7 linked regions of the Ovis aries genome follow. The protein of the gene in region 3 interacts with the protein of the main gene of each other region in a pairwise test. Links are inferred from orthologs where the notes say so. Each region holds a gene or a part of one and is shown on either strand. Other genes may lie near its edges.

Evidence for each region.
Region 1: the proteins of KHDRBS2 (region 3) and RBM3 interact in binary tests that used the Homo sapiens proteins (3 or more experiments, as listed by UniProt). The link is inferred for Ovis aries from reciprocal best matches to the Homo sapiens genes KHDRBS2 and RBM3.
Region 2: the proteins of KHDRBS2 (region 3) and HNRNPR interact in binary tests that used the Homo sapiens proteins (3 or more experiments, as listed by UniProt). The link is inferred for Ovis aries from reciprocal best matches to the Homo sapiens genes KHDRBS2 and HNRNPR.
Region 4: the proteins of KHDRBS2 (region 3) and SDCBP interact in binary tests that used the Homo sapiens proteins (3 or more experiments, as listed by UniProt). The two-hybrid records come from large-scale screens. The link is inferred for Ovis aries from reciprocal best matches to the Homo sapiens genes KHDRBS2 and SDCBP.
Region 5: the proteins of KHDRBS2 (region 3) and NCOA5 interact in a two-hybrid assay, tested with the Homo sapiens proteins (2 studies listed by BioGRID). The two-hybrid records come from large-scale screens. The link is inferred for Ovis aries from reciprocal best matches to the Homo sapiens genes KHDRBS2 and NCOA5.
Region 6: the proteins of KHDRBS2 (region 3) and CHTOP interact in binary tests that used the Homo sapiens proteins (3 or more experiments, as listed by UniProt). The two-hybrid records come from large-scale screens. The link is inferred for Ovis aries from reciprocal best matches to the Homo sapiens genes KHDRBS2 and CHTOP.
Region 7: the proteins of KHDRBS2 (region 3) and PRR3 interact in binary tests that used the Homo sapiens proteins (3 or more experiments, as listed by UniProt). The two-hybrid records come from large-scale screens. The link is inferred for Ovis aries from reciprocal best matches to the Homo sapiens genes KHDRBS2 and PRR3.

The regions. Positions count from the first base shown.
Region 1 is NC_056080.1:56,479,868-56,484,012, reverse strand, and holds the start of RBM3 (RNA-binding protein 3), read left to right. Parts: upstream 1-1,345; 5' UTR 1,346-1,399; intron 1,400-1,893; 5' UTR 1,894-1,962; coding exon 1,963-2,065; exon of another isoform or gene 2,066-2,301; coding exon 2,302-2,408; exon of another isoform or gene 2,409-3,048; coding exon 3,049-3,154; exon of another isoform or gene 3,155-3,257; coding exon 3,258-3,547; 3' UTR 3,548-3,984; coding exon of another isoform or gene 3,985-4,045; 3' UTR 4,046-4,145. UniProt on the Homo sapiens protein: Cold-inducible mRNA binding protein that enhances global protein synthesis at both physiological and mild hypothermic temperatures. Reduces the relative abundance of microRNAs, when overexpressed.
Region 2 is NC_056055.1:243,236,580-243,240,683, forward strand, and holds the start of HNRNPR (heterogeneous nuclear ribonucleoprotein R), read left to right. Parts: upstream 1-1,304; 5' UTR 1,305-1,399; intron 1,400-4,104. UniProt on the Homo sapiens protein: Component of ribonucleosomes, which are complexes of at least 20 other different heterogeneous nuclear ribonucleoproteins (hnRNP). hnRNP play an important role in processing of precursor mRNA in the nucleus.
Region 3 is NC_056073.1:1,048,985-1,052,922, forward strand, and holds the start of KHDRBS2 (KH domain-containing, RNA-binding, signal transduction-associated protein 2), read right to left. Parts: upstream 2,801-3,938; 5' UTR 2,573-2,800; coding exon 2,485-2,572; intron 1-2,484. UniProt on the Homo sapiens protein: RNA-binding protein that plays a role in the regulation of alternative splicing and influences mRNA splice site selection and exon inclusion. Binds both poly(A) and poly(U) homopolymers. Phosphorylation by PTK6 inhibits its RNA-binding ability.
Region 4 is NC_056062.1:37,717,727-37,722,014, forward strand, and holds the start of SDCBP (syntenin-1), read left to right. Parts: upstream 1-1,488; 5' UTR 1,489-1,710; intron 1,711-4,288. UniProt on the Homo sapiens protein: Multifunctional adapter protein involved in diverse array of functions including trafficking of transmembrane proteins, neuro and immunomodulation, exosome biogenesis, and tumorigenesis.
Region 5 is NC_056066.1:74,782,507-74,786,006, reverse strand, and holds part of NCOA5 (nuclear receptor coactivator 5), read left to right. Parts: intron 1-2,620; coding exon 2,621-2,757; intron 2,758-3,500. UniProt on the Homo sapiens protein: Nuclear receptor coregulator that can have both coactivator and corepressor functions.
Region 6 is NC_056054.1:104,074,167-104,078,447, reverse strand, and holds the start of CHTOP (chromatin target of PRMT1 protein), read right to left. Parts: upstream 2,801-4,281; 5' UTR 2,534-2,800; intron 1,404-2,533; 5' UTR 1,387-1,403; coding exon 1,322-1,386; intron 1-1,321. Other genes in the region: S100A1 (protein S100-A1), read right to left, coding at 4,206-4,281. UniProt on the Homo sapiens protein: Plays an important role in the ligand-dependent activation of estrogen receptor target genes. May play a role in the silencing of fetal globin genes.
Region 7 is NC_056073.1:27,530,346-27,532,904, reverse strand, and holds the end of PRR3 (proline-rich protein 3), read left to right. Parts: intron 1-207; coding exon 208-498; intron 499-773; coding exon 774-880; 3' UTR 881-2,059; downstream 2,060-2,559.

The sequences.
Region 1 (4,145 bases), on a different chromosome or scaffold from region 3:
AAGTTTCTAAGGACAAGCTGGCTCTCTTTTAGGGGCTAATGCAACTGGTAACTTTAAGAAAGAAGACAATGCTCATTGAGCATTCTGAAAAATCCCAGGGCTCTTAGGAATTAGGGTAAATCTATTCTAACTGTCCTCTGTAAGGGGGCTTCCCTGGTGCCTCAGACAGTAAAGAATCTGCCTACAGTGCAAGTGACTTGGGTTCAACGCATAGGTTGAGAAGATCCCCTGAAGAAGGTAATGACAACCCACTCCAGTATTCTTGACTGGAGAATCCCATGGCAAGCTAGTCCATCAGATTGCAAAGAATCAGACACAACTGAGAGACTAGTAACACTTTCACTTTTTCACCATACTGTATCCCAAAAGTTAACAGATCTACTCTGTATTTGGGGTGCTGATCCTTAACAGGCTGGACGAGTCCATTCTATGGATGACATATTTCAAGTCTCTGAGGGTAACTAACCCATTCTTCTTTGATGGGGAGCTCAGAAACAAAAATTCTGTCAAATCCATTCATTGTAAAGGTAGCTCAGACACTCAGAAGGCGGACAAGAACAAATTGTGGGCAGTGGGCTCAGACACTCTGTCCCTTACTTATTGTGAAAGTCCTCTGCGTGGATCAAGGGTTCAGCAACTCTGAGTGACAGCAGAAATCATTCTGTTGGATCAGGATTTACTCCTTTTGAAGACTGAAGCATCCTCTTTTGTAGAAGGCACCTCAGGTGGTCTGTTGGTGGGGAATTCGAGAAACTGGCTTCAGGAAGTTGTCAGTTAAGGATAAGGGCTGAGGTTATAAATGAGAAGAAACGATGCCAGGGGAGTTGCATAACAGGTGGCTAAGATGTTGGGCAGAGGAGGAAATGCAGGGATCGGGGTCAGGGGCTAAGAAACGAAGGAATGTCTGATGTTAAGGACTGTGAATGGTGATGCCGTCAGGGTCAGTAGGGAGATAAAACATCGGGCCCTGGAGGGGGTATGAGCTCGGAGGACTAGAAGGTGAAAGGGGGCAGTAATTATGTCCTCTAGGAACCTAGAGAAAGACGTCAGAATCAATGAGGGAAATGACATCAAGGGTGATAAGGGTGATGTCAGAGACGGAAACGGGTGTGAGAGCATAAGAGATGAAGATGGCTGGGCAGATGTGATGTTAGGTTGCATCATCACAAACCACTCCTTTTCCGGAATCGTGCTCAGCTCCTCCCTCCCTTCAAGCTGTTGTCCCTTCCTCCCGCCCCGCCTTACTGACCTTAGCCAATGAGCGTGCACGGCGGCACGCATGGCGGAAGTTCCGTGACGTAGCCACTCTGTACCCTTTATTAGCGTCTTGCCGCGCGGCAATCTCCCCAGTCTCGGCTCCTTCGTGGTGGATCTCTTTTGAGTTATTGTTAGTTTGCAGGTAAGTAGCATATATTTTTGCGGAGCGGCTGTTCCTCGTCTCACTGACGTTTGATGCGCCGGTTGAGAGCGAGGTGCGCGAGTGAGAAGTAACGGCCTCTGACACATAGGCTTGGTCTTCACTGGATCGGGTGGGTTCCGTGCTTGGAGGTGACACTTTTTGGTTGGTGCGAGGCTGGCGCGCTATATTTGAGTGCAGGAAATGCCGGGAATGGCTGGCGGCGTGGGTGGCAGCCGTGATCGTGCGACGGCGAAGGCGGATGGGGGGAGGGGGCTCATTTTGCATGTGACCGCCGCCATCTTGTTCAGGGTTCTTTTGGGCATGCGCAGGTGTACAAAATGACGGGCGTCGGGTAGGGGATATTGTGTGGGCACCGGCTCCGGAGGTTTCTGTCTTTTTGGTCTTTGTCTGTGCTTGGTTACCCCGTATTTTTTTTTTTTTGCTTGTTTTGTCTCCTCTGTTCTCTCTTCCTTCATCCTTTCTCACTTCTCCAGCCTCTTTCTCCCATCTCTACAGTTTCTCCTATTCTCCATATCCTCAACACAGGACTTGAATTTACTGCCATGTCTTCTGAAGAAGGGAAGCTCTTCGTGGGAGGGCTCAACTTCAACACTGATGAGCGAGCTCTGGAAGACCACTTCAGCAGCTTCGGACCTATTTCTGAGGGTGAGAAATGGGCCAGGTGCGTGATGGGGGGATTGTGGAAGAAAGTCTGGGTCCCATGCATTTCAGGAAACAGGAGAGAAAGGTTAGAACCCCAGGCCTTACCCTTTTCCTGCCTTTGTTCCTAGGCCTTAGACTGAAGAACCCAATAAGTTTCCATTGAGTTTTAGTGGAATAAAGATTCATTCTTAACACCGTTTACTACTTGTCCTCTTAGCTCTTTCCCCTGTCTTTTCCAGTGGTGGTCGTCAAGGACCGGGAGACTCAGCGATCCCGGGGTTTTGGCTTCATCACCTTCACCAATCCGGAGCATGCCTCAAATGCCATGAGAGCCATGAATGGAGAGGTGAGGTCTCCTGCCTGCATAGGGGCCCTGCGTCCATCTGTCACTTGGACCATTCTGTTTTTCCCTCTGTGTCTGCTTGGGGCAGCGCGGCCACCAAGCCCCGCAGTGCCCACTCACAGGAGCGTGACTGCCTTCTGTTCTAGGGGGTGGAGGGCAGCGGCAGACAGAGCCGGGCTGCCTGGGAGGCGACGACTGGTCCTGCATGAGGCCGAGAAGCCACCTGTGGATGGTTGACCTGCTCTGGGCTTAGGTAGTAGAGTCTGCAGACCTGCGGGCCTGGCCCGGAGAGGACCTCGTGAGTCTTCTGGGATGGACTCTGAAGCCTCAGACCAAGAGAGGTGTCTGTCTAGCCCTAATAGTCGGGCAGCTTAGAGGAGTGGGGAGGAGAATTCAACCTGAGTTCGGTCAAGATGTAAGTAGTAGCAGGGGAAACATGGTGGATTCAGGTAATTCTGTGGGATTCTGTAGCTCCAGATAAAACCATTTGGGTCAACGGAGCTTGTTCTGGAATATGGCACCCAGAACCTGGTGCCCAGCAGGAATTTCTGGGCTCTTTCGCCCACTTGCCCAGCCCACTCCTACCTCACCCCTGCCCTGTTTGACCACCAACCCATCCATCCTTGTGTCTCCCCACACCTAGTCTCTGGATGGTCGTCAGATCCGTGTAGACCACGCTGGCAAGTCAGCCCGGGGATCACGAGGGGGTGCCTTTGGGAGCTATGAACGTGGTCGTGGCTACCCTAGAGGTAAGTTACTTGGTAAGTTTGATCATGGGGTGCGGAGGAGAGTTGCCTATTAGCATTCTATGTCTAGACAATTGCCATTCAGAATATTTTTTCCCTATTGTAGGTGGTGGGGACCAGGGCTATGGAAGTGGCAGGTACGACAATCGACCTGGAGCATATGGATTTGGATACGGATATGGATATGGAAGGTCCAGAGACTATGGTGGCAGGTGGGTAGCCAAGGGGTTAGGGTATGCTGGTGCTTCTTCCCTCTCGCTAAGAACTCATCTTAGGGATTTATCTGGTGATCCGGTGGCTAAGACTCTGTACTCCCGATGTAGGGGGACCTGGGATCAATCCCTGGTCAGGGCACTAGACTCAACATGCCACACCACGTGCCACAACAAAGATTGAAAATGCTGTGTGTAGCAACTAAGACCCAGCACAGGGAAATGAATGAATAAACTTAAAAAAAAATTTTTTTTAACTCAGTTTTTTTGCTCAAAAATATAAAAAGCTCAGTTGCCTGAGTATTCATACATACCTTGCTGTGGTGCTAATAGTGTTTGCAAATTGTAATGAAGTTATAAAGCAAGTAGGAAGCAATATTCTGGGTTAAGTATAACATTGGTAAATAATTTGTTAGGTCATGTAATTGCAATGTGCGGTAGATGGTGACATGTTTATTGTACTGTCTTGATTATGTATGGTGGTAATATTTAATATGGTATATTATACACCATATGAGTGAGTTTTACTTGATACTCGTGTTTAACTTACCATGGTGTTTAGTAATACTGCAGAATATATAATACATTCCTGTGATACTACTATGTATGTTTTTTTCCCAGAAGCCAGGGTGGTTATGACCGCTACTCAGGGGGAAATTACAGGGACAATTATGACAACTGAGATAAGGTATGCACACCTAACGTAAGTGAGGCTTCTATGTTGCCATTTAAGAGACCTCTGTCCACCAGTCTTCCCTGTTCCTCTCACTTTCTTCCTGTAT
Region 2 (4,104 bases), on a different chromosome or scaffold from region 3:
ACGGACTCAATGTATACGAGTCTGAGCAAACTCGGGGAGATGGTGGAGAGGGAAGCCTGGCTGTGTTGTAGTCCACGGGGTACACAAACAGTTGGACATGGCTTAGCTACTAAACAGTAAAATCATTTGCATAAATTTCACACCCCACGCTGCAGAAGTTGGGTTGTCCATGACGTTCAGCCCAGTACCGAATGCATAGGTTTTCAACAGCTAATTTTTGGCTGATAGTTTCCGGGAAATTTAAATTATCCTTGAAGTGTATCTGGAAATCTTTCAGGCCACTGCTTGGCTTCCTTCTCGCCTGGAGAGGGACAGGGCATTGGAGATGGGGAAAGAAGGGCCGTGGGATGAGTGAGGTTCGGACTAAAGCGAGGAACAGGGGACAAACCAGTAGGGGTGGAGGGTGAGAAATGTTTAAGAAAAAAGGGATTTAGCCTCCTTTGGGAATTAGCTCTTTTCCTTGCACGGTTCCTTTGGCTTCGTAGATGCATACACCTGCCCAATGTTCTTTTGTGAATATGAATTAGCTCCAAACCCCACGCAGAAAGGTCTCAGCTCTGTCATTTGTAGCTAACATGACTCTTAAGTAAATGCCCACTTGAGCGATTTCCCTCACATCCTGAGCTGCTCCCAACCATGTGTGGAAGAGAGCCAAGGAGGGAGTTTTCTGAGTGCTCCAAGGGATGATTTTTCTCCGCGAAGAAATTCTCCAGCAAAACAGACGAGCCAAACCCCTACAGCGTGCTCTAACTGGAGCCCAGAAAACGACCTAGAAGAGGCCCGGCCGCGTGGCGGTGGGCGTGTCCGGGGTGAACGCGGCGGCGGCGGCTGCCCCTGGGAGGCGGATTACCGGCGTTAACACGCCGGTGAAGGGGCGGGAAGGCCCGAGGGCCCGCGGCCGATGGAGCCGATGCGAGCCGTAGGGGGCGGGGTTCCGGGGGCGGCCTCGCGCGGGCGGCAGACGAGAAGGGACGGGAGAGGGGGCGGGCCTCGGCCACTTTGGGCCTGCGGCCCCACAGCCTCGCCTACCACTCGCGGCTTCGCCACAGACCCCTTTGTGTTCCTGCCCCCGCCCCGGAGGCGCCCCAGCCGGCGGCGCTGAGTTCCCTCATTGGCTCAGCCGACGGCTTCCGCGATTGGCTTCTGAGCCGTCCGGCGTGGGGCGCCTCTTCTCTCTGCTATTGGTTGTCTGGGCTGTTCGTCAGGCCGCCGCGCGAGGTGATTGCCCGGCAGCTCAGAGTCCCTGGAAGCAGTTCCGGGAAACCCCGCGTGCTGCCGGGATCGCGTCTCGGTCCGTGACGGGGGGGGGAGGGGGTGGTGCGCGCGCCATTTCTAGTCGTTTTCAAAGCGCCTCGCGCTGGTTCTCACGGGCCCGGCCACCGGCCCCAGCTCTGCCCTGGTGAGTCTCGCGCCGGCCCGCGGGGGGAGGGGCCGGGAGCCCCGATCCGACCCTACCGGGCCAGGCCGGGGCTCGGCGCCTGCTCCCCAGTTTCGTCTTCGCTCCGAGGCCCCCAGGGTGGGGGTGGGGATGGGCTGGGGGCGGCTTCGGCCTCGTCCGGCTGCTCAGCGGAGGGCCTAGCCGCCGCCGAGGCGCTTCCTCGCCCTCGCTCATCCTCCCCGCTCTCCCCGCCACCCGCCGCCTCCCCTCCAAGCCCAGGCCCGCGGTCCGGCCCGCCGGGCGCCCTCCGCGCGGCCTGCCGGGTCCGCCGCGCTTTTCCCGCCTCCGCCCGCCGCTCCACGCGGCCGAGTCGGCCGCTTTCAGTCCCCGCTTTAGATAGACCCCGTCGCCTCTCCCTGCCGGAGCCCCGCCTTGCTCCCCGTCTCAGCCGGCCTAGCCGCCCGTGGGGTTTGTTGATGGTCAGGACCGGCATGGGCCGGGGTGGGCCGAGGGCGGGATGCCAACCCGGGTGAGCCGAGCCGGGAGAAAACTTTTGTGTGAAGCAGAGGCCGAGAGGCCAGTGTGTGTAGGAAAAGGCCTCCGTTTCCCCTCCCCAGCCGCCCCCCTCCCCCAGTTCTGCATGCTGCAAGTCGAGATTTGAAGGAAAAAATGACTACTAGAGGCCATGAAACTTAGGCTTCGAGCGGCGCCTGAGATACCGAAGTCTAAATGCCATAGGCGCACTCTTGGAAAGGCGATTCTCTTTTCCTTCTGCGATAGAAACCGTATTGCCAAAATTTTAAGACTCGAAGAAGCCACGGGGATCTTGAAGGGTTCAGCCCCTTCCACACTACCTGTTTCAGATTTTTTGCTGTCCTCCGGAGTCTAAATTTATGTCTCATGAGTCAGTCGTAGGATAAGGGCTTGACACTCCTAAGCCATGAGAGAACCGTTAGTTTTCATTTCATTGGATCCTTAAAAGCCGGTCTCTTAAAATGAGAATTATTTTCACGAGATGTTCAGAAAAAAAAAAAAAAAAAAAAGGAAGGGGCTAGTGCCAGATTTCCCAAATTTCCCAGCGACCCTGATTTTAATTTCTCCTTTTTGCAAAAAAAAGTTTAGATCAAATAACATCAATCATATTAATATATTTGCTGCATCCAGAAATATGGTTTGGCTGTGTGGCATTGAATTGACACAAGAGTTTTAAATGGTCATATGACATGAAAGTCTTTTTTTAATATGAGCGCATTATATTTGGTTTGAAGAGAGCTTTTTCCTTGATCTGGAAGGTGTTATTTTCTGGACTCTCTTAATAGTTGTACTTTTTTGTTAAAGTTTACAGACATTTTTTGAAAATTTCAACCAATTTAAAAATCAACTTGTAGAGAGCCTTTGCAGTGAATGATAGTCATAAATATTTGTCTTGTGCTTAATACACAACTTGTCTTTTTGCTTTACACATAACTTTAAAAATACCACCTTAACAGATTTTCATTGAACTTTTCTGTTAAAAATTTGCTTTCTTTCCGTGATTGATAGTATTCCCAGGTGCAATACCGCAAGGGTCTTGTGATACTGAGAACTTTTGAGTTCTAATGATCTATCTTATGGTCGTATTTGAGGGTGGGTGAGCATGGAAAACAACTATACGTTCCCAAAAATATTTTGGACTTGAAGGCTTCTTTATAGAAGTAGGTTGTACTAATCAGTAAACTATTCATCTTACACTATAAGTAGTTTCTTTATCAAAAGTGTCAGTTTTGAATGTTTTTGTTTTTGCCAGTTCATCAGAGTTTGAGTTTTGCCTTGAGAAACATTTATCCACCCAGAGATTAACCACGGAGTCTGCCTCTATATAGACATTAGTGGGTTACTAAGTCTTAATGTTTTGTAATCATAAGAAGTTATAATACTGTTTATCTCATTTTCAGAGTAACAGTTTGTGCCTTTTCCTCTCTTCCTGCTTTCTGTTACCTCCTCAGTCTTCCTTTTTCATTAACTTCAACGAAATATCAGGGGGCTTTGAAGTTGTTTTAAGTCAGAAAAACTGCACCTGGTGTATTTGCACAGGGTTTTGATAAGCAGTCTGGAAGTGTGGTTATCTTAGGTATGGATTTTAGTGCTTTTTAGGAAACTTGTATTTTCTTTACAGCTGTCTAGGTATCTTCAGTTTCATCAGGAAAAGTAGGCTTTTCCTTGAAATCCACCTTCATGTCTTTTATTTCAGTATTTGTTGCAATGTCTTTATTCTGCTGCTTATTATCTTCATCACATTATAATTTCACCACAGACAAATGCACTTTAATTCCCTATCTTTTGCGGAGCTAGTATAGAGACTGGCCTTGTATGGTTTTATTATTTAATCTCTCTTCAGGGAGTTGATCCATTTCAGCATTACATAAAAGTTGAACACCCAAAATGATTTGGGTAGGTAAATCTGAGACATCTGACCTAAGTTTAAAAAGAAGCAACCTTAACTACAGCTCACTTTTTATTTTATGTGGACTTAAAACAATCATTTAGCTTTTAAACCTGGTCATTTTTTCTTTTAAATCTGTGAATGGGAATAGCAAATTAATTTTAGAACAAAAATTAATGTCAAGCTGTGTTTTTTAAGTTAGGTGGAGAAAACCCAAACCAGCAGCATGTTGAACTAGAGACAACAGGGCATTTATTTCACACCTATGTTGTTTTGAAGCAGAGCTAGTAAAGTTTGAAAGTCC
Region 3 (3,938 bases):
TTGCATCTACCACCAATCAAAACAGCAAAACAAATCATTATGAATGCTCAGTGGCTTACATCACTGACCTTGTATATATTACCTTCCAAAAAACCATTTCAAAGAACTGAATCATCTGGATCATTTTTATTACACACTCAGTCTTGAGACATTCTGCACAGTGCTGGCTGAAATGTACTTCATGGAACACCTTCTTTCCTAACGAACATCTATGTCAGGTGTATTTATAGCCACTGCCTTCAATCAGTACATTTCCAGGGGTGAAAAATAAAATTATCTCAACAACACTCTCCTATAGAGATTCGAAATAAGACCTAAGAATCTAGGTAGATGGCCTTTGAAAAAACAACGAAAGATCTGTAATGTAAAATGTATGTTAAGGTTTATTCAGAAGGACACTGTTCAATGAGAACATGAAGAGGCTTGGGTACAATTACAGAATTTAGATCTTGTGGATCTTTCAGCCAGCTGCAAAGAGTCTCTTTATATACTCAAGATTATTATCATTACTCCCCTCCTCCTCCTCCTCCTTATGATTCCTCTGAAATGTGGACACCTATCTTTGTTTCTTCCTTAGACATTTTTCTATTTAGGCACTTTTTACTTCTAATTCATTACAAAGGCAGAACATGCTTCCCCCTACTGGGAAAATATTAAATTACAAAGTACATAGGAACATGTTCCTAAGTATCAAGAAACCAAATTTCTGAGAAAAATAAAATGTTAAGAAAATTTTAAGGAACCAGGTTCACAGACTTTTCTGGCTGTTTTACCACAGAGAAATACTTCTATACTCTGTTTAGAGCTCCTCACATGCATTGCTTTAGTCTGGCAGTTTTCAGTACACTAACTCTCATTAATAACTTATGAATTAATCATCTAGCCTACTGTCCCCAAAAGAAGTCCAATTAGCAGGTCTGAGAAAATGATTAATTTGTAACTTTTTCTATTTTAAAGACTTTATCAGCTAAATGAAGACATTTCTGGAAAATGCATTGAAATAGATGATTTAGGAACACAATGACATTTTTAATCATTTTGAATATTTGTTAATCCATTAATTTTCAATGTTCCTATTATTTTATGTAGTTTATTTATTTTTAATAGATTAGATTAGAGGTTAATTTTTTAACTTTCATTTACAATTTTAGGTTGCATTTTTTTATTTAGTAACCAAGAAGTAGCAAGCATGACTGCATTTTCCATTCCAAATCCTCTACAAAATCAACTTGTCCCCTGAAAAGTAGTTTACTTGTTTCACATGTTCAATATTTCAATTGTTGTTTTTAATTACTTAATTACTTAATATACAAAATAGAAAAATATCTGATACTTTATTGTTGCAAATAACAATCCATCAATAAAACATTTAAATAAGTATAATGCCTATTTAATTCATACATGGAGGATTAGAATTTCTCCTTCCATGTAAAACTAAATCTCACAAAAGAAAACATTTCTTTTGATGCTGAAGGGCTAAGGGGAAGAAAGTTATTACTTTTAGTTTTGCTGTAGGTAAGTTCCTAAGAACCTAAGGAACAAAACTGCATTGTAGTCAATTTGATGATGAAGCAACTCATTATTGAGACATTCACCCCCCCACAAAAAAAAAAAACGAAAGTCTTTAGTTTTTATAAAGGTAAATGTAGATTGCTACAGATATTTCTATCATACAGAAGTTCCTGTGTGTGTGTGTTTAAACAACCCTTCAAAAGAACACAAAAGAAAAGATATTTATATTCCCCTGGGAATTAAATCTCTTTCAACATTAAAGTACACACACACACACACACACACACACACACACACTGCACACACACACATACACTGCACACTTGGTACAACAGTTGATCAATTGTGGAGGGTTCCCAGGGACCAGCATCTCCCAGAGCACACAATCATCACACTTCAAATAAACTGATATGCATTTCAGCCACTTCCACATGCACAAACAGAACACGCATAATTTAATCTAGGTTAATACTAAGTCTTTCCATAGGAAAGACTGTAATTAGACTAAGAAAATCAAAATCACTTCTCAATCAGAAGGGAGAGAAAATAAGAGAAAAGAAAGGGGGAAAAGGGAAAGAAAAAGGGAAAGGGGGGGGGGACTGATTTGTAGATAAGAAGAAGCTCATCAAACACCACGTTGATCACCATTCACTCCAGACTGACTTCCCTTCCCTTGGCGGAGTTAAAACATCCCGGTGGACCACGCAGCTCCTTAACGTCGCTCCATCAGTGATCCTAAAGGGCACTGTCTTCACAGCCAGCGCCCGCCGCTCCGGGCTACCCGGATTCAGCCGCGAATGGAGTGAGAAAGTAGCACCCGCCTCCCAAGGACCAGCTCCGCCGCGGCTCTGGGCGAGCATCGTCCAGGGCAGTTTCCGCGAAGGAGACAGGCGTCCTCCCGTACTCCGCTCCCCGAGCCCCGCCGCGGCGACAGGGGCCGGCGGTCTGCGCCCACCCGGGGGCAAGTCCTACCTTCGGCCAGCAGGCGCGAGGCGTGCACGAAGGACGGGTCCAGGCTGTCTCTCTCTGCCATCAGCTCAGGCAAGTACTTCTCTTCCATAGCGCGGACTTCGTACGGGCCCCGCCAGGCTCAGGGCTCCGTGCGCTGGACGCACGTCCCCGCCGTCCTGCTCTCCCGCCGCCCGCCCGCCTCAGCTACGGCCGGTGTCTGGCGCCCTCTCTGGGCCGTCGCCGCCCGCCCGGCCGCGGGCTGAAGTGGTGCCGAGCCTCCGGGCCGGTCGAGCGGCCGTACCTCGGTTCCGCCCAGGTCGGCTTGCTCCGGCGGCCTGGACGGGGAGGCGGGCACAGGACGCGTTCTGCCCCTGCCAAGCGCTCATTGGTGGGTGTGCCTTGAGGGGCGGGGCCCGCAGCGGCTGAGAGTCGCCATTGGGCCGCATCGGACGTCGATGCGCCGAACTGGCGGGAGGCGGAGCCGCCGGGAGGAGAGCAAGGAAGGTGCGCGCGCTTTCTCCTCCCAGCCGGCACCCTCCGGCCGTTAGGCAAGCTCAGCTGTGGCGCCCAGGTGCAAGGAGCCGTCTGTCTTCTGCGGAGGCGCGAGTCTAGAAGAGCGGGAAGGGCACCGTAACCGAGCAGCCGGAGTCCGAGACGGCGGGGAGATGGGGCGAGGAGGCGCGCAGCGAGGACTGGAGAGCGCCGGGAGCGCCTCAGGAGCGCAGAGCTGACTCCACCCGCGTCCTGAGGCTCAGCTGTTCCCTCTCCTACCGGCACACGCACTCGGTGCGTAGAGATCGGCGGCGCTCCCGCTCTGGAAATACAGTGAAGACTGCTTGTGATGGGTGGCTGCGATTTCCAGTGGGCTTGACCTGTATCTAGGGGATGCAGTAGATGCTCATTGATGAACAAATAAAGCGGCTCCGCGGCGGTATCGCCGCACAGCAACGCGCCTCCACTGGACAGTCACAGCGGGACTGACTGGTTTTCTTCCGTCCGTTCCTCCTTCCCCAGTCCCTATCTATAGGGGCCTTCTGGGAGGGGGCTGAATTTTACAACTAAAGCCACGTAATCAGTTTGTGAAGGAATTAGAAAAACATGTGGAAGAAGGAACAGGCTAGGAATCAGGCAACGACAGTTGCTCCGCCCTCCCCGTATCTCCGTCATTTAGGATATGCAGTCTGTTTCTCCAAGTGCAATTGCTGTTCCTCTTCTGATAAAGCAGAGTTAAACCCCCCGGGTATCACCAACACTGCCCATGCTTCTCTTACAAATGCATTTCAAAATGCAGTTTAAGTACTTTGGATATTTTAAAATAAACTTTTCCACCATCTCTTTTCATAAAGTCATTTTCTAATTCGTCTCTCCCCCACCATTTTTGTTCGTGGAAGAAGGAGGGCTCACTTCCCTATAAATAGAGCATGCTGAAACTTTTTTGAATATAAATTTATTTACTTTAATTGGAGGTTAATTAC
Region 4 (4,288 bases), on a different chromosome or scaffold from region 3:
GCTTATTAGTTTTAGGTTATTTTTGTGTGTGTGGGTCAGTTCTTTGGGAGTTTCTAAGTAACTATGTCACCTGTGAACAAAAGCAATTTTCTTTCTTTTTTTTTTGATGATAAATCTTTCTTATTTTTTAAATTTTACTTTACAATACTGTATTGGTTTTGCCATACATTGACATGAATCCACCACGGGTGTACATGCGTTCCCAAACATGAACCCCCCTCCCACCTCCCTCCCCATAAGATCTCTCTGGGTCATCACCATGCACCAGCCCCAAGCATGCTGTATCCTGCATTGGACATAGACTGGCGATTCGATTCTTACATGATAGTATACATGTTTCAATGCCATTCTCCCAAATCATCCCACCCTCTCCCTCTGAGTCCGAGCAATTTTCTTTCTTTCTTTTGGTTGCAGTTGTTTTTACATGTCTATTACTCTCTGAAGTCTTTTCATCTCATTGTCATCTCTTTTATGCTCAGATTTTTATTTGACCATAGGTTAAATTATCATTGCACTAAATAATTTAGCTAGAAATAAACTGCTTCTAAGTTAATGCTCTTTTTTCAAGTACTGCTACTCCATGGTAAGTATGGAAAACGTAGGTAAAATGTGCCTCAATGTCTTTGCCCCCTAAAGAAGATGGTGTATCTACCTTTGATGTAAGCACCAAATTAAGACTGCCGCAATGACACCCCACTCCAGTACTCTTGCCTGGGAAATCCCATGGACGGAGGAGCCTGGTAGGTTACAGTCCATGGGGTCGCTAAGAGTCGGACACGACTGAGCGACTTCACTTTCACCTTTCACTTTCATGCACTGGAGAAGGAAATGGCAACTCACTCCAGTGTTCTTGCCTGGAGAATCCCAAGGACAGAGGAGCCTGGTGGGCTGCCGTCTATGGGGTCGCACAGAGTCGGACATGACTGACGCGACTTGGCAGCAGCAGCATACCTTATGTTCTTAGGACAGTTCCTAATAGTTTTTCAGTTTTTGATTAGGATACAGGTATTACTTTTGTGCACTACGACACATAACCTTCAACAACCAGCAAACTTAGATCAAATAGACAAAGAGTAATAAAAACCAAAGAGAAATGTTGTAGCGCCAAGAAGGCAGGAGTCCGGGAGGGTTAGTGGGAGGAATGTTTAACAGCCTGTGAGTGTGGTGGAAGTCTAAGGCTGGCCAGGAAATCGCCGAACGACAGGTTCTCAGGACTCTGTGTTGGAGATGATGGGAACCAAGTGAGCATGTGCGGAGGTGAACAACACTAGGCGGGTGGCACAGGGCCGAAGTGCAGGAGCTGTGGGGAGAGAAGAGCAGGTGGGCTAGAGCGGCAGGAGGTGAGAGCCGCCCCCCGCCCTGTTACCATGGGGACCGGGTCACCTGACCGGGCGCCGCACGCCTGCGCGGGCGGAAGGCGGGGGCGGCGCGGTGACGCGCGGCGCGGGCGGTCCTCGGGAGCGCGCCGCCCTCCTCCCTTTGGGTTTCAGAAGTCCGAGCCAGTGACCGGCGGCGGAGAGCGGGTCTCAGCGGTCTCGGTGAGCAGCCCTGGGGGGCACCGGGGGACGCTCGCGCGGCGTCCTGGGCGCGGGGACGAGGAGCGGGAAACCTGGGGGACTCGGGGCCGCTGGGCGGAGGGCATTTCGGCGGCGGCCTTTCCTCAGTGGGCTCCGCTCCGTGCCCCTCGGGGCGCCCAGCCGGCCCGGGGGCGTAAGTTTGCGCGACGGCGCCCCTCTGCCCGCCCGCGGCCTTGCGGGATTCGGGGTCCCCGTCCGGAGAGAGGGGCGGGGAGGGAGCCTGAGGCCCGGCCGGGGACGATGCAGGCAGCCCCCCGTCCGCCGCGACTCTTTTTGTTCGTGTTGGGTGGGCCCGCGGCCGGTGCGGGGGCACCCTCCGGCTCTGGTCCCGGTGCCGCGATCCCTGTGTGCGGAGTCGCCCTCGGGGGCGGCGGCGGCGGCGGCCGCGTCCGAACGTCCGGAGTTGGAGGGAGGTGTTCGGCAGGCGCAGCCTTGACTTTCTGGAAGGGGGTGGGGAGGCTGCTCGCGGCGCTAGTTTGTGAAGTTGGAGGAAAGGGAGAAGAGCTCCCGGCTGGGTGAGCGCGGCAGGAAATGTTCCTAGAGGGCTGGCCTTTCAGAGCCTTCCGAGCTTTCCTTGCAGGATTTCCCTATAATCACGGGAAGGCGGAAACTTACAGCTACGGAAAGTTTCCCCTTTCACCAAAACGGGCTTATTTCATCGTGGAGTCTTGCATGATGCCGATTTTAAAAAGAAATGTCTAGGTTTATCTAGTCTGTGTTGTGTATGTGGTCCGCACACCCATTTACTGTTATTTTTAATATCATGTACATTTACTGTTATTTTAAATATCGTGTGCACTTCCTAGGAAGTAGGTTTGGTTTACCAAACTCATAACATCCAGTGTTTCGAGGAAAAAAAGTCCTGGCTAAAAAGGAAAATTACAGGGAAGAAGAGCCACAGGCTGGTTAGCTGTATCTCAAATGTATATAAATGGTCAGTTTTAAGTTTGTCTGTTCCTTTAAGTTTTTCTGTTTTAGGTTGAGGGCAAACAGTAAAAATGTGTGTTTTCATTTGCTGTGTTATCAACTTAATTCTACAAACTTTTATTCTTTAAATGGTATGTAAACATTATAAATCAGATTGTGCTACAGAATTAAAATAAGGGAATGTCTTTTAATAGGTTCAGGAAATAGTCATCCTGCTATAGAACATATTTAACTTTGGCAGCATTAATTTTTCGTTATGTTTGGGCATTTTAAGAAAGGATGTGAAAATCGTGACTAAAAGAGGAAGCATTTACTAATAGTCGGCGGTTGAACCTACTTTTCAATAAACAGTTCCCTAAATTGAGCATGACTCAACTATATTTTTTCCTGTTTTTGCCGGATTTAGGTACTTTTAGATAGCAAATGCCAAAAGTCTCTTTTAGATAGCAAATGCCAAAAGTCTCTAAAAAGATTCCCACCCCTGCAACTGTTATATGTAGTAATAGATATATTCACAATTATTAATGTTTCCAAGTGCTGCCAAGATTTTTTTTGTGTATTTATTTAGGCTTTGAGGAAGTAATCAGTTAACGTGACTCAACATTTAAGTAAAGAAAAACAGGGTACGTAGTGTGTACTGTTCCCTTCCTTCAAGGTCCTCTAGCCAGCCAAATTCTCTTACTGTAGGAAACAGCTGTTTTGCATTTCTTAGGTATCTTTATAGGGATATTTTATACCTTACAAATATATATTTCCCCCCTTCTGTTACTTCTCTTTTTTTAATTGCGATAAAGGACACAACTTGGTGACTAAACAGCAGGCATCACAAGTGCATGTAACATTACCATCTTAACCATTTTAAAGTGTACAGTTCAGAGGTATTAAATATACTGACGTTGTCATGCAACCATCACCACTGTCCATTCCCTCAGCTCTTTTCGTCTTGTTCTCATTAAACAGTAATGCCCCATTCTGTCCTCCTCCCAGCCCCTGGCAACCATTTTGGTACTTTGTGTCTCTCATGATTTTGACTAGTGCAGCAACCTCATGTAAGTGGGATCAGGGTGTTTGTCTTTTTTATATTTGGTTTATTTCACTTAGTGTAATGTTTTCAAAGTTCATTCATGTTATATATTGCAGAATCTCCTTCCATTTTAAGGCAGGGTAAAATTCCGTTGTGTATGTGTGCGCGGGCATACATTTATACACACAGTTATACCACATTTTGCTATCCATTCATCTGTTGATGGACACTTAGGTTGCTTCCAAGGTTGAACTAATTTGAGGGGGTCTTCTATACTGTTTTTATAACACCTGTGCCCAGGGGATGCAGTAGTAAAGAGTCTGCCTGCCAGTGCAGGAGACCTGGGTTCCATCCCTGGGTCGGAAGATCCCCTGGAGTAAGGAAGGGCAACCCACCCCAGTATTCTGGCCTGGAGAATCCTATGGACAGAGGAGCCTGGTGGGCTACAGTCCATGGGTTGCAAAGAGTCAGACACGACCGAGCAGCTGAACACGCACATGTGAACACACACCATTTTACATTCCTACAAACAGCAAATTAAGAGTTCTAAATTTTCCACATCCTCACCAAAACTTGTTTGGTTTTTTTGGGTAGTTGTCACTCTTGTGGATGTGAGGTGTATCTCATAGTTTTGATTTGCATTTCTGTAATGATTAGTCCATGGGAAATAAATGGAGAAACAATGGAAACAGTGTCAGACTTTATTTTGGGGGCTCCAAAAATCACTGCAGATGGTGACTGCAGCCATGAAATTAAAAGA
Region 5 (3,500 bases), on a different chromosome or scaffold from region 3:
GTGAAAAGATACTTGACATCCTTAGATAGCAGAGAAATGCAAATCAAAACCACAATGAGATAGCACTTCATACCTACTAGGATGGCTTTAATACATTTTTTTTTTTTTAATGTTGTTGAAGTGTAGAGGAACTAGAACCCTCATACATTGCTGGTAGGAATGCAAAGTAATATGACTGCTGTGAAGAAGACAGAAGCAGAAGATATTAAGAAGGGGTGGCAAGAATACACGGAAGAACTGTACAAAAAAGATGTTCACGACCCAGATAATCATGATGATGTGGAGGTGATGGAATTTGTATGAGATTGTGCCATACACAAAGCTAGTGGAGGTGATGGAATTCCTGTTGAGCTGTTTCAAATCCTGAAAGATGATGCTGTGAAAGTGCTGCACTCAATATGCCAGCAAATTTGGAAAACTCAGCAGTGGCCACAGGACTAGAAAAGGTCAGTTTTCATTCCAATCCCAAAGAAAGGCAATGCCAAAGAATGCTCAAACTACCGCACAATTGCACTCATCTCACATGCTAGTAAAGTAGTGCTCAAAATTCTCCAAGCCAGGCTTCAGCAATATGTGAACTGTGAACTCCCTAATGTTCAAGCTGGTTTTAGAAGAGGCAGAGGAACCAGAGATCAAATTGCCAACATCCGCTGGATCATGGAAAAAGCAAGAGAGTTCCAGAAAAACATCTATTTCTGCTTTATTGACTATGTCAAAGCCTTTGACTGTGTGGATCACAAGAAACTGTGGAAAATTCGGAAAGAGATGGGAATATCAGACCACCTGACCTGCCCCTTGAGAAACCTGTATGCCGGTCAGGAAGCAACAGTTAGAACTGGACATGGAACAACAGACTGGTTTCAAATAGGAAAAGGAGTACGTCAGGGCTGTATATTGTCACCTTGCTTATTTAACTTATATGCAGAGTACATCATGAGAAACGCTGGACTGGAAGAAATGCAAGCTGGAATCAAGATTGCTGGGAGAAATATCAATAACCTCAGATATGCAGATGACACCACCCTTATGGCAGAAAGTGAAGAGGAGCTAAAAGCCTCTTGATGAAAGTGAAAGAGAGCGAAAAAGTTGGCTTAAAGCTCAACATTTAGAAAACGAAGATTATGGCATCTGGCCCCATCACTTCATGGGGAATAGATGGGGAAACAGTGGAAACAGTGGCAGACTTTATCTTTTTGGGCTCCAAAATCACTGCAGATGGTGACTGCAGCCATGAAATTAAAAGACGCTTACTCCTTGGAAGAAAAGTTATGACCAACCTAGATAGTATATTCAAAAGCAGAGACATTACTTTGCCAACTAAGGTCCGTCTAGTTGCTATGGTTTTTTCTGTGGTCATGTATGGATGTGAGAGTTGGACTGTGAAGAAGGCTGAGCACTGAAGAATTGATGCTTTTGAACTGTGGTGTTGGAGAAGACTCTTGAGAGTCCCATGGACTGCAAGGGGATCCAACCAGTTCATTCTGAAGGAGATCAACCCTGGGATTTCTTTGGAAGGAATGATGCTAAAGCTGAAACTCCAGTACTTTGGCCACCTCATGCAAAGAGTTGACTCATTGGAAAAGACTCTGATGCTGGGAGGGATTGGAGGCAGGAGGAGAAGGGGATGACAGAGGATGAGATGGCTGGATGGCATCACTGACTCGATGGCTGTGAGTCTGAGTGAACTCCGGGAGATGGTGATGGACAGGGAGGCCTGGCGTGCTGCGATTCATGGGGTTGCAAAGAGTCGGACACGACTGAGCGACTGAACTGAACTGATGACTGCTGTGAAAAAGTTTGGCGGTCCTCAGAAAATTAAATGGAGTAGAATTAATGATTCACCAGCTCCACTCTTGAATATATATCCAAAAGAATTAAAAAGAAGAACTTACATAGATGGGTGTGACTGTACATAGCAATACTATTCACAGTAGCCAAAAGGTAGACACCACTCAAATGTAGACACCATCAATAGATGGATTAAAAAGTATGATATATCCATTCAGTATATTATTCAGCCATAAAAAGAAAGGTCATTTTTATACTTGCTAAGCCTTGATAGACCTTAAGAAATATGCTACATGAAATAAATATTAAGCTACATTGTCACAAAAGACAAATACATGTTTTCACTTACATGAAATATTTAGAAAAGGCAAATTCATAGTAAGATTAGAAGTTACAGAGATCGGGGGTGAGTTTCTGTTCAGACTGTTAAGGATGATGAAAATTATTTTATATATGTGTATTTTTTTATTCTTTGTTTTAACCGCAATTTTTAAAAAGCACAAGGAAGGAGGCTTGGGGTAGGGCCTAGAATGGTTCCTCAAATATCAGTAATTACTACCAGTTATTTTGTGTGTACTTTGGGCCAGGGAGCTTCCATTATGCTGAGAGTGTTCTGTACGTCTTCCCAGTCCTTTTGGAAGGTGGGTTAACTCAGTCCCAGCCACAGAGCTGATAAGCAGTGAGTCCCAGATACTAATTTTGTTTGCCTAATCCCAAAGTTCTGTGCCTTACTGTGTCTTCCTCACAGATGGCTGGGTCTTGAAGAGTTCTCTGTATTTGATTTTTGCAGGAGAAAACCTTTAACTTTGTGCACGTTTCTTTACCTTTTCAGAAGAGAAGGCTCTTACGACCGATACCTGCGAATGGATGACTACTGCAGGAGGAAAGATGACGCTTACTTTGACCGTTACAGAGATAGTTTTGATGGACGAGGCCCACCAGGCCCCGAAAGTCAGTCTCGTGCAAAAGGTAAAGTAGAAGAAACAGTTTATTCTTATCACAAATAGAACACTTTATAAAAGAAAGAGGAAACTAATAACCAGCTGGAAAGGAGCTAATGACTTGGCTAAGCAGTTCACAAAAAGAAGAAATACAAATGGCCTGTTCATTTGTAGAGAGCATTCAGCTTGAAAATCATTTTTTAAATGCAAAGTAGTACTGTCATCTGGTTTAGTCACCCAACAAGAAGAAATAAATATGAAATACTATCAGTAAGAAAAGAAATGAACTAAACATTGGAGCTGAAGAGGTTAAATGTTTGTTTTTTGCTCATTGACCAAATAAATATAACTATCTTTATTACCTATGTAGTATGTGGGGAGAGTTGTTTTATTTATAATTTTTACCTAAGAGCATCTATTTTTTAGATAAAGACATGTTTTTTAAAGCCTTGATTTTCTCAATATATTTAATACATCTTTAAGATTTTTTAATTGTTTTCTTCCTGGTCAAATTAATAACCTCATTTGTAGTTTGCCGCAGAACTTTACTGCCTGGTTTTGTTTAGGATTTTTTTGTTGATTTTTTTTAACTGCCTGATTTTTTTTTTTTTTTTTTTTTTAGCAAATTACAATTACCTGTCAATAAGAGTCTTAAATGGTTGTCCCAAAAATGAAAATTAGGATAATAATGATATACTATCTTTTGCCTATCAATTGGCAGGAGGTTTTTTTTTTTTTTTAATGACAAAACTCAGCGTTGATTAAGATATG
Region 6 (4,281 bases), on a different chromosome or scaffold from region 3:
GATGTGGGTTCAAGACTCCTCTGCTTCCACAAACTTGCAAGAATCAGAAACTCAGAAATGCAGCTAAGTGTAGCACATTCAATCAAAAGTGATAACAAGGGCTCAGGTAACGGCTTTTAGAGGTGGAAAGCATGAAAAACACGCAATAAGCAGATATGATGACAAGAGACAGAAGATGTAGTTTCAAAGACGGACAATGCAAGCCAAAACCTCAGGAGACCTGAGGGTGCTATTTTACGGGCAAATACACGGAAGGACAAGAGCACCTTCAAAGCCCATGGAAATGATATACCCACATAAATTGTAAGAGCATATCACATTTTCTCATGTATTTGGTCACTTGCTGCTGCTGCTGCTACTAAGTCGCTTCAGTCGTGTCCGACTCTGTGCGACCCCATAGACGGCAGCCCACCAGGCTCCCCTGTCCCTGGGATTCTCCAGGCAAGAACACTGGAGTGGGTTGCCATTTCCACTTAGTAATATGCAAATATGGAGAATCAGAGTAACACACCCTAAGAGATAAAGAGAAGTAAATATGCTTCAGAAAAGACAAACAAACATAAGTAAATCATTCAGTGGTCTAATATCAGCTTAATAAAGTCACTAGTCAAAGGCACTCAATGAACAAAGCTCTCAGACAGAAAGTGCCTTTAAATACTGTAACTTTCTTTTAGTATCAAATGATTCTTTTTTCTGACTCCAAACGATAACTTCTGAAAAGGTTAGTTCAATCATCTAAGAGCTTGTGAAGACACTCTTCTATTACTCCTGTCAAGTTAAGTTTAATGGGATGAAAGAGAACACTCAACTGTAAAAGAATTGAAAACAAAAACAAACTAAAGCAGAGTGGAGAGAAAGTGAAATGGAGCAAAGCAAGTGCCTCTTACAAGGCCCAAGAATGACATTCAAGGGCCTTTGGACATATTCTTAGCTTGCTACCTGCCTCTTACAGGCCAGACACAACACTGCTGGCCTTGGACTGGGCAGCAAGCCTACTGCAGCCAGGGTCATGCTACTGAGCTGCACCACCCCTGTATCAACGTAAAAATATGTGAAGAAAAGGGAGGGTGTGAGGAGTCTTTTTAAAATACATCCCACCAGATAAATATTTCAGATAGCATAATATAAAAATCTAATGATAAGGGGTTTTGAAACAACCGCCCAATTTGTTTTGTGTACCACATACGATGCAACTAAGAACAGAGGTCTGTAGCCTTCTGTTGGTATTTAGTTTAAAACAGACTTTTGTGCATTGGACCCCAGCGCCAATTTAAGTAATGTTTTCTTATGAACGAGCTGAAGTTGCTGTTGGCTGCCTCACCGCTCATTTAGAGACATCTTGGTGGTGCTTTTTAGCACAACTTTCGGCGCAGACTGTGCAGCCATCTTCAAATCCCGAGAATCTACAAAGGACAATGGGCAGAATGAGCAAACCAGAATGGCGACTATCTCCTTTCAACAAGACCCAAAGACCCCAAAATGAATGAAAAGGTTTGTATCGATGACTATCAACAATCACACCAAAACTCATTTCAGGCACTTAAACAGAAGCTAGTTACTTCAAACTAATAAACTCCTGGGGCTTCCCAGATGGTGCAGTAGTACAGAATTCGCCTACCAATGCAGGAGACTCGGGTTCTATCCCAAGGTATGGAAAATCTGGAGTAGAAAAATGGCAACCCTCTCCAGTATTCATGGCTGAAAAATTCCATGGACAGAGGAGCCTGGAGGGCTACAGTCTATGGGGTCGCCAAGAGTAGGACACGACTGAACACACACACCGTATGTTTCAAGGCCGCAGGACAGAAAATATCTGCCCAAGCCTCCAAAATGGCAGACCCAAAGCAAGTGTTGTTAAGAGTCTGGTTTTTCATCAACAGCGGTCCTTCTCAACCTTGGCGGCAAGGAGCTTTAAATAAACAAAACAGAAAGCACTCAGAAGCCTGAGCCCACACCATTTCAAGCACAGTCTCTGATGGTGAAGTCTGGGGATGAGCCATTTATATAGCAAGGGAAAATACGTCTACCTCGCTGCTTCCCACGTGCAGCTAAAACTGAGAACTACTGAACTAGAGAGATGACACAGGTATACCAATTTCGCAATCAAGTTAGGGGCATCAGCAAGGGCCTGGCGACCTGGGGGAGGGAGGGAATAGGAAAGATTTCCTCCACGAGCATTCCCCTGGGAGTGCGCTCCCAGAGAGCGCGCCACAAAATTTAACCCTAAAGCCGCCATTACTTTCCAACGCTCCTTGAAGTCGAGTAATCCTCCTTTCATCTCAAACCTCTGTCAGAACCGCCAACGTAACTCAACTCGCCAACGTTCCTTTCTCATCCCTATCAAATTCCACCCTTTCCGTCAATCCCGCGACGATTTTCCGTGCGGGGTCTCCCCCGCCTCCCTCTCACGGGCTCCGCCCCCTTCGGGGCCTCCGACTCCCTATTTGCTTCCACATCCCACCAGCTCCTGCTCCGCGTCTGCCGGGCCCCTCGGCTCCCCCAAACTCTCGCCCTCCTCACCACAGACACGTACCGAAGGAAACGGACGCCAGTGCTCCTCCCGGGGCTGCCACCACGGCTGCGGCAGGCGGGCCGGGGGCCGGCCGAACCTGAGTTGACGGTGGAGGGGCTCGGGTTAACTTGGTGGGCGGTTGGTTAGATGTGTTAAGCGGTAGATTGTTAAGTTAGTTCGTTGCTGCTGGCTGGTTGTCCGGTCGGCCGGTCCGCCTGCTCACCCGGCCTGCTCTTTCCTTCCTTTCACTACAGCCGCTGCCGTCAACTCCCGCTCGGTGTGGAAAACAAAATGGCCGCCACGCCCAGGGCGGAATGGGACCGGCTAAAATGGCGTCGACGCAGTTACGTCAGACGTCAGATCCGCCGCATCCCTAGAGGGGCGGGAAAACTTGTGCCACGCCTGGGCGGGGATTAGGGCGGAGCCCTAGGAAGAAGGCGGGACTTTAGCGAAGGCCTCGTCTGTATTACACGCAGCGCCCCGCCCGGGGAAGGGCGTGGCCAAATGGTTTCGCTCTTGAGTTTTAACGGGCTGCGGATGATTAAGTGATTCGCGTCTCTTGGGCTGATTTGGTCTCCGTGAAAGAATTGTCCGTATTTTCTCGCGCGTCCTTCTGCCCCTGAACTAAGACAGAACAACTAAAATTCTTCAGGCGGATGTGCCTCGATCTCTCTTGCGGACCACTGGGCTCGGGTAGTTTGCACTCGGGTAGTTGCACTCCCCTTATTCACCCCGGGCCCGGGTCCGAGAATTGTAGGCTATAGCAAAAGCCCCAGCGGAGGCAGGGGAGCCAGTGATCAGAGCACACCTCTGCTGGGTTCAGCGCCACTCACCACCGTCCGTCCATAATTTCCTCTTCACTTCCCTCCCCAGCTTGGCCTGAATATTGTTAAATCCTTATTTTGTGGGGCCTTTGCGTCTCCCCTCCCGTTTCCGTGTCCACTCTCGCCGTTTTCCATTCATGTGGATTTTGATGCAGACCTATACGGGATTTTTATTATGCTTTGACACACAATAAAGGGCTCGAATGTTTGAAGAATGAGCGAATGAACACATCTTCACCCCTGCCCCCAGTATAGGCGCCTCAGATCCTTTCATTTTCCTTCTTAGCATATATTTGTGAGTTTAATGTTTTGGTATCCTTACTGGGCTTTACCTATGTGACGCTGAGGGTTGTGTGTTGTTAGGTTCACTGCTGTGTCCCCAGCTCCCATACGATGTCTAGCACGTGGTAGGTCTTCAGTAAATATTCTTTGAAGGTTGAAGGGAAATTCTGCCTTTATAGCTGAGACCCTGGTGCACGTATTAGCTTCATACATCCTCCACTTCTGGCTGGAACCTTGAATCCCAGCCTTCCTGGGCCTTCAGCATTCCTTAAATAGGAAGATGCAAGGGTCCCTTGACCTATCTCCAAAAAGATCTCTCCTCAAATAAGGCAAGTTGTGAGTGAGCAGCCTTCATTTCCCCACCTACTCTATACTGTCCACCTACTCTGTGCTGTTAGCAAAGGAGACAGACAGCAACTGGTGGCTGGTGAGACAGAAGCCTTTAATGAAAGAAGAATTGCAGGCCTGGCCCACTATTCTTGCGCCCTTGTTGGTGGGGAGGGAAAAGTAAGGTGAGGAGGAAGCAGGTTGAAGGAGCAGGCATGGCAGGGTAGAGGGGTAGGGCGCTGCCTGCTGGGGCCGGCTCCTCAACTGTTCTCCCAGAAGAAGTTGTTGCACGCCACTGTGAGGGCAGCCACCAGCACCACATACTCCTGGAAGTCC
Region 7 (2,559 bases), about 26 Mb from region 3:
TGTCCCTTCTCTAGCCTATCTTAGTGGGAACACAGGTGTGCTTACCTTGGTAATAGTTGAGTTAAGGACTTAAAATTGTGTATTTCTGGTGTATATATTGTACTTCAATAAAATGTTTTTAAAACAAAATCAGGGTTGCATTATCTGTATTAAGCTGGCCATTGATGATCTTCCCGTGTCTCTCTCTGTCTCTGTCTGTCTCTTCAGCTTTTCACAGAGGTCCTCCGGGATCAAGGGGACCAATGATCCCACCACTGCTGAGTCTCCCACCTCCTCCCCGGGGCAGAGGCCCAATTCGGGGAGGCCTAGGCCCCAGGTCTGGCCCATATGGTCGTGGTTGGTGGGGGGTCAATGCCGAGCCTCCTTTCCCTGGACCAGGCCACGGGGGTCCTTCCAGGGGAGGCTTTCACAAAGAACAGAGAAATCCTCGAAGGCTCAAAAGCTGGTCTCTTATCAAGAATACCTGCCCACCCAAGGATGGACCCCAGGTTATGGAAGGTGAGGTCCATTTTTTTATGCCTGCACACATTTAATACCCATCACTCCCAGAGCGACCTCATGCCTAGAATACCCATGGCTCTTGTGCTTTGGGTTGTCCTTTGTCCTTTTGGAGTAGGAGTAGCCCTGAATGTTTTTTCTCCCTCGAGAAAGTCTGTCATTCCATAATACCTGGAAATGGTAGCAAGTAGGAAATCTGACCTTCTCTCTCTCTGCTTTTTGTTAGATTTGTTTGTTCTTACATTTTAAACTGCCCGATTTTTGCTTGTTCACAGACAAATCTGACCGCCCCGTCTGCCGACACTTCGCCAAAAAGGGCCACTGTCGATACGAGGACCTCTGTGCCTTCTACCACCCGGGCGTCAACGGGCCCCCGCTGTGAGGCCGCCTCCCCACCCAGACTGGAAGGGGCCCCCGGCCTGGCGGCCACGTTCTCCCCTGCGGCCCTGTGCTGGCCACCGTGAGGCTGTTCCTCGCGCCACCCCCAGTCAGTGACGCCCACCCCCCTCACCGCCCCCTCCCACTGGGGGCCCAGAGTTGTGTTCCATGACTGGTGTGCGGTGTGCACTCTTCTGATCCAGCCTCCAGAGACATCTCCAGGACCGTCCCTGCTCCATTCAGCTGCCTCCTGGGTCCTCCTCCCCCTCGCCGGCTGACTGCGGAACAGGAAACCTCTTTGGTGCTGTTTCTTGTGCATCTGTCCACCCAGCCCCCGGTATCGCCCTGGATTCCTGAGAGCCCTGGAGCAGTTTCCTACCATCCCCTCCTCGCTGCTTGTTTTTAAGTCCTTTTCGTGTGACACCCCTGCCCCAGCGTGGTCGGCGGCCCTGTGACGCCCGTCCGGTTGGCTGACCTGGGGTCAAGTGTGGATGACTGGTGCAGAGTCACTTCCCGAGAGGCCACACTCCCCGCTCTTGGATCTGGTAGTTCCTGCGTCAGTAGCATGATCCCCACCGCTGTGGTCTGTGCTCACTGTGCTTTGTGAAACTCTGCATCCCCCTGCCCCTCACCCCCATAGCCTTTCTCAGTGTCCGTGGCATTTTCGTGACCTCCCAACACTAGAGTAAGTTTTTCTGCCAAAATGTGTGGGGCCGTTGGTGCCGCCTAGACTTTCCCCACCCCCCGACGAGGAAGAACTGTGAAACTCCACAAGACCGCCTCCCTGGTCGTCTCATCCTCCCCATGTCGGTTCCTCGGGATTGACACAGGCCCGAGAGATGTCATCTGAAGGCTCAGATGGGCCTCTCCTCTCTCCAGCCCATCTTAGACTGCATCATCGTGAGGCCACCAGCCGTTTCATTTGAATTCTGTGAATCTCCACCTGGCCAGTGGGTGGAACTCGGACAGTACTGTCGCCCTCTTCCAGCCTTCTTCCCCTGCATCCCTGGCACTGGTTGTTTTCTGTGAAAACGGCAGTGAACAGGTTCAGTTTTGAACTGGCCCTGAGGAAATGGGTCAGGAGTTGTGTGGGCAAGAGGGAGGGATGAGAGCTGTTGGAGAACTGAGAATGAATTTTTTTTTTTACATTTTTTTATATTAGTAATAAATGCAGTGGAAACAAGCATTTTCTTTAATCCCTGTGTTGCGGCCATCTCTTGAAGTGCAGAGGAGGCTGGGAGTCAGTGTATGCTTCACTTAGAATGTTGACATGTTTTTCCCAGTCTGAAGAAACCAGCGGGGCCCCTTACCCTGTGGAGATCAACCGGACCAGCTGCATTATATTCAAGGGCTAAGTTTTGTTGGAGAAAGGAACGACCTGTCCATGGAGTCATTTTTAAACATTTTACCTGTGTTTATGGTTATAGAGTGGAGGTGGCAAAGCAGTCTTTGAGCAAATACTGGTAGAGTGCCTGTGGGCCAGGCAGCATACAAGACACTATAGCAATAACAGAGAGCCAAAATCAATGAACTTAAAATCTACAAGAGGAGACATGTTCGTCAAGTCACAAATATGTGTAATGTACCTGTCTAAAGTGCTGTGAAGAAGCGAGACATGGGGGAATACGTAATAACGATTCTGGGGAGGTGACAGCTGAGACAAGCTTTGAGGACAAGCAGAAG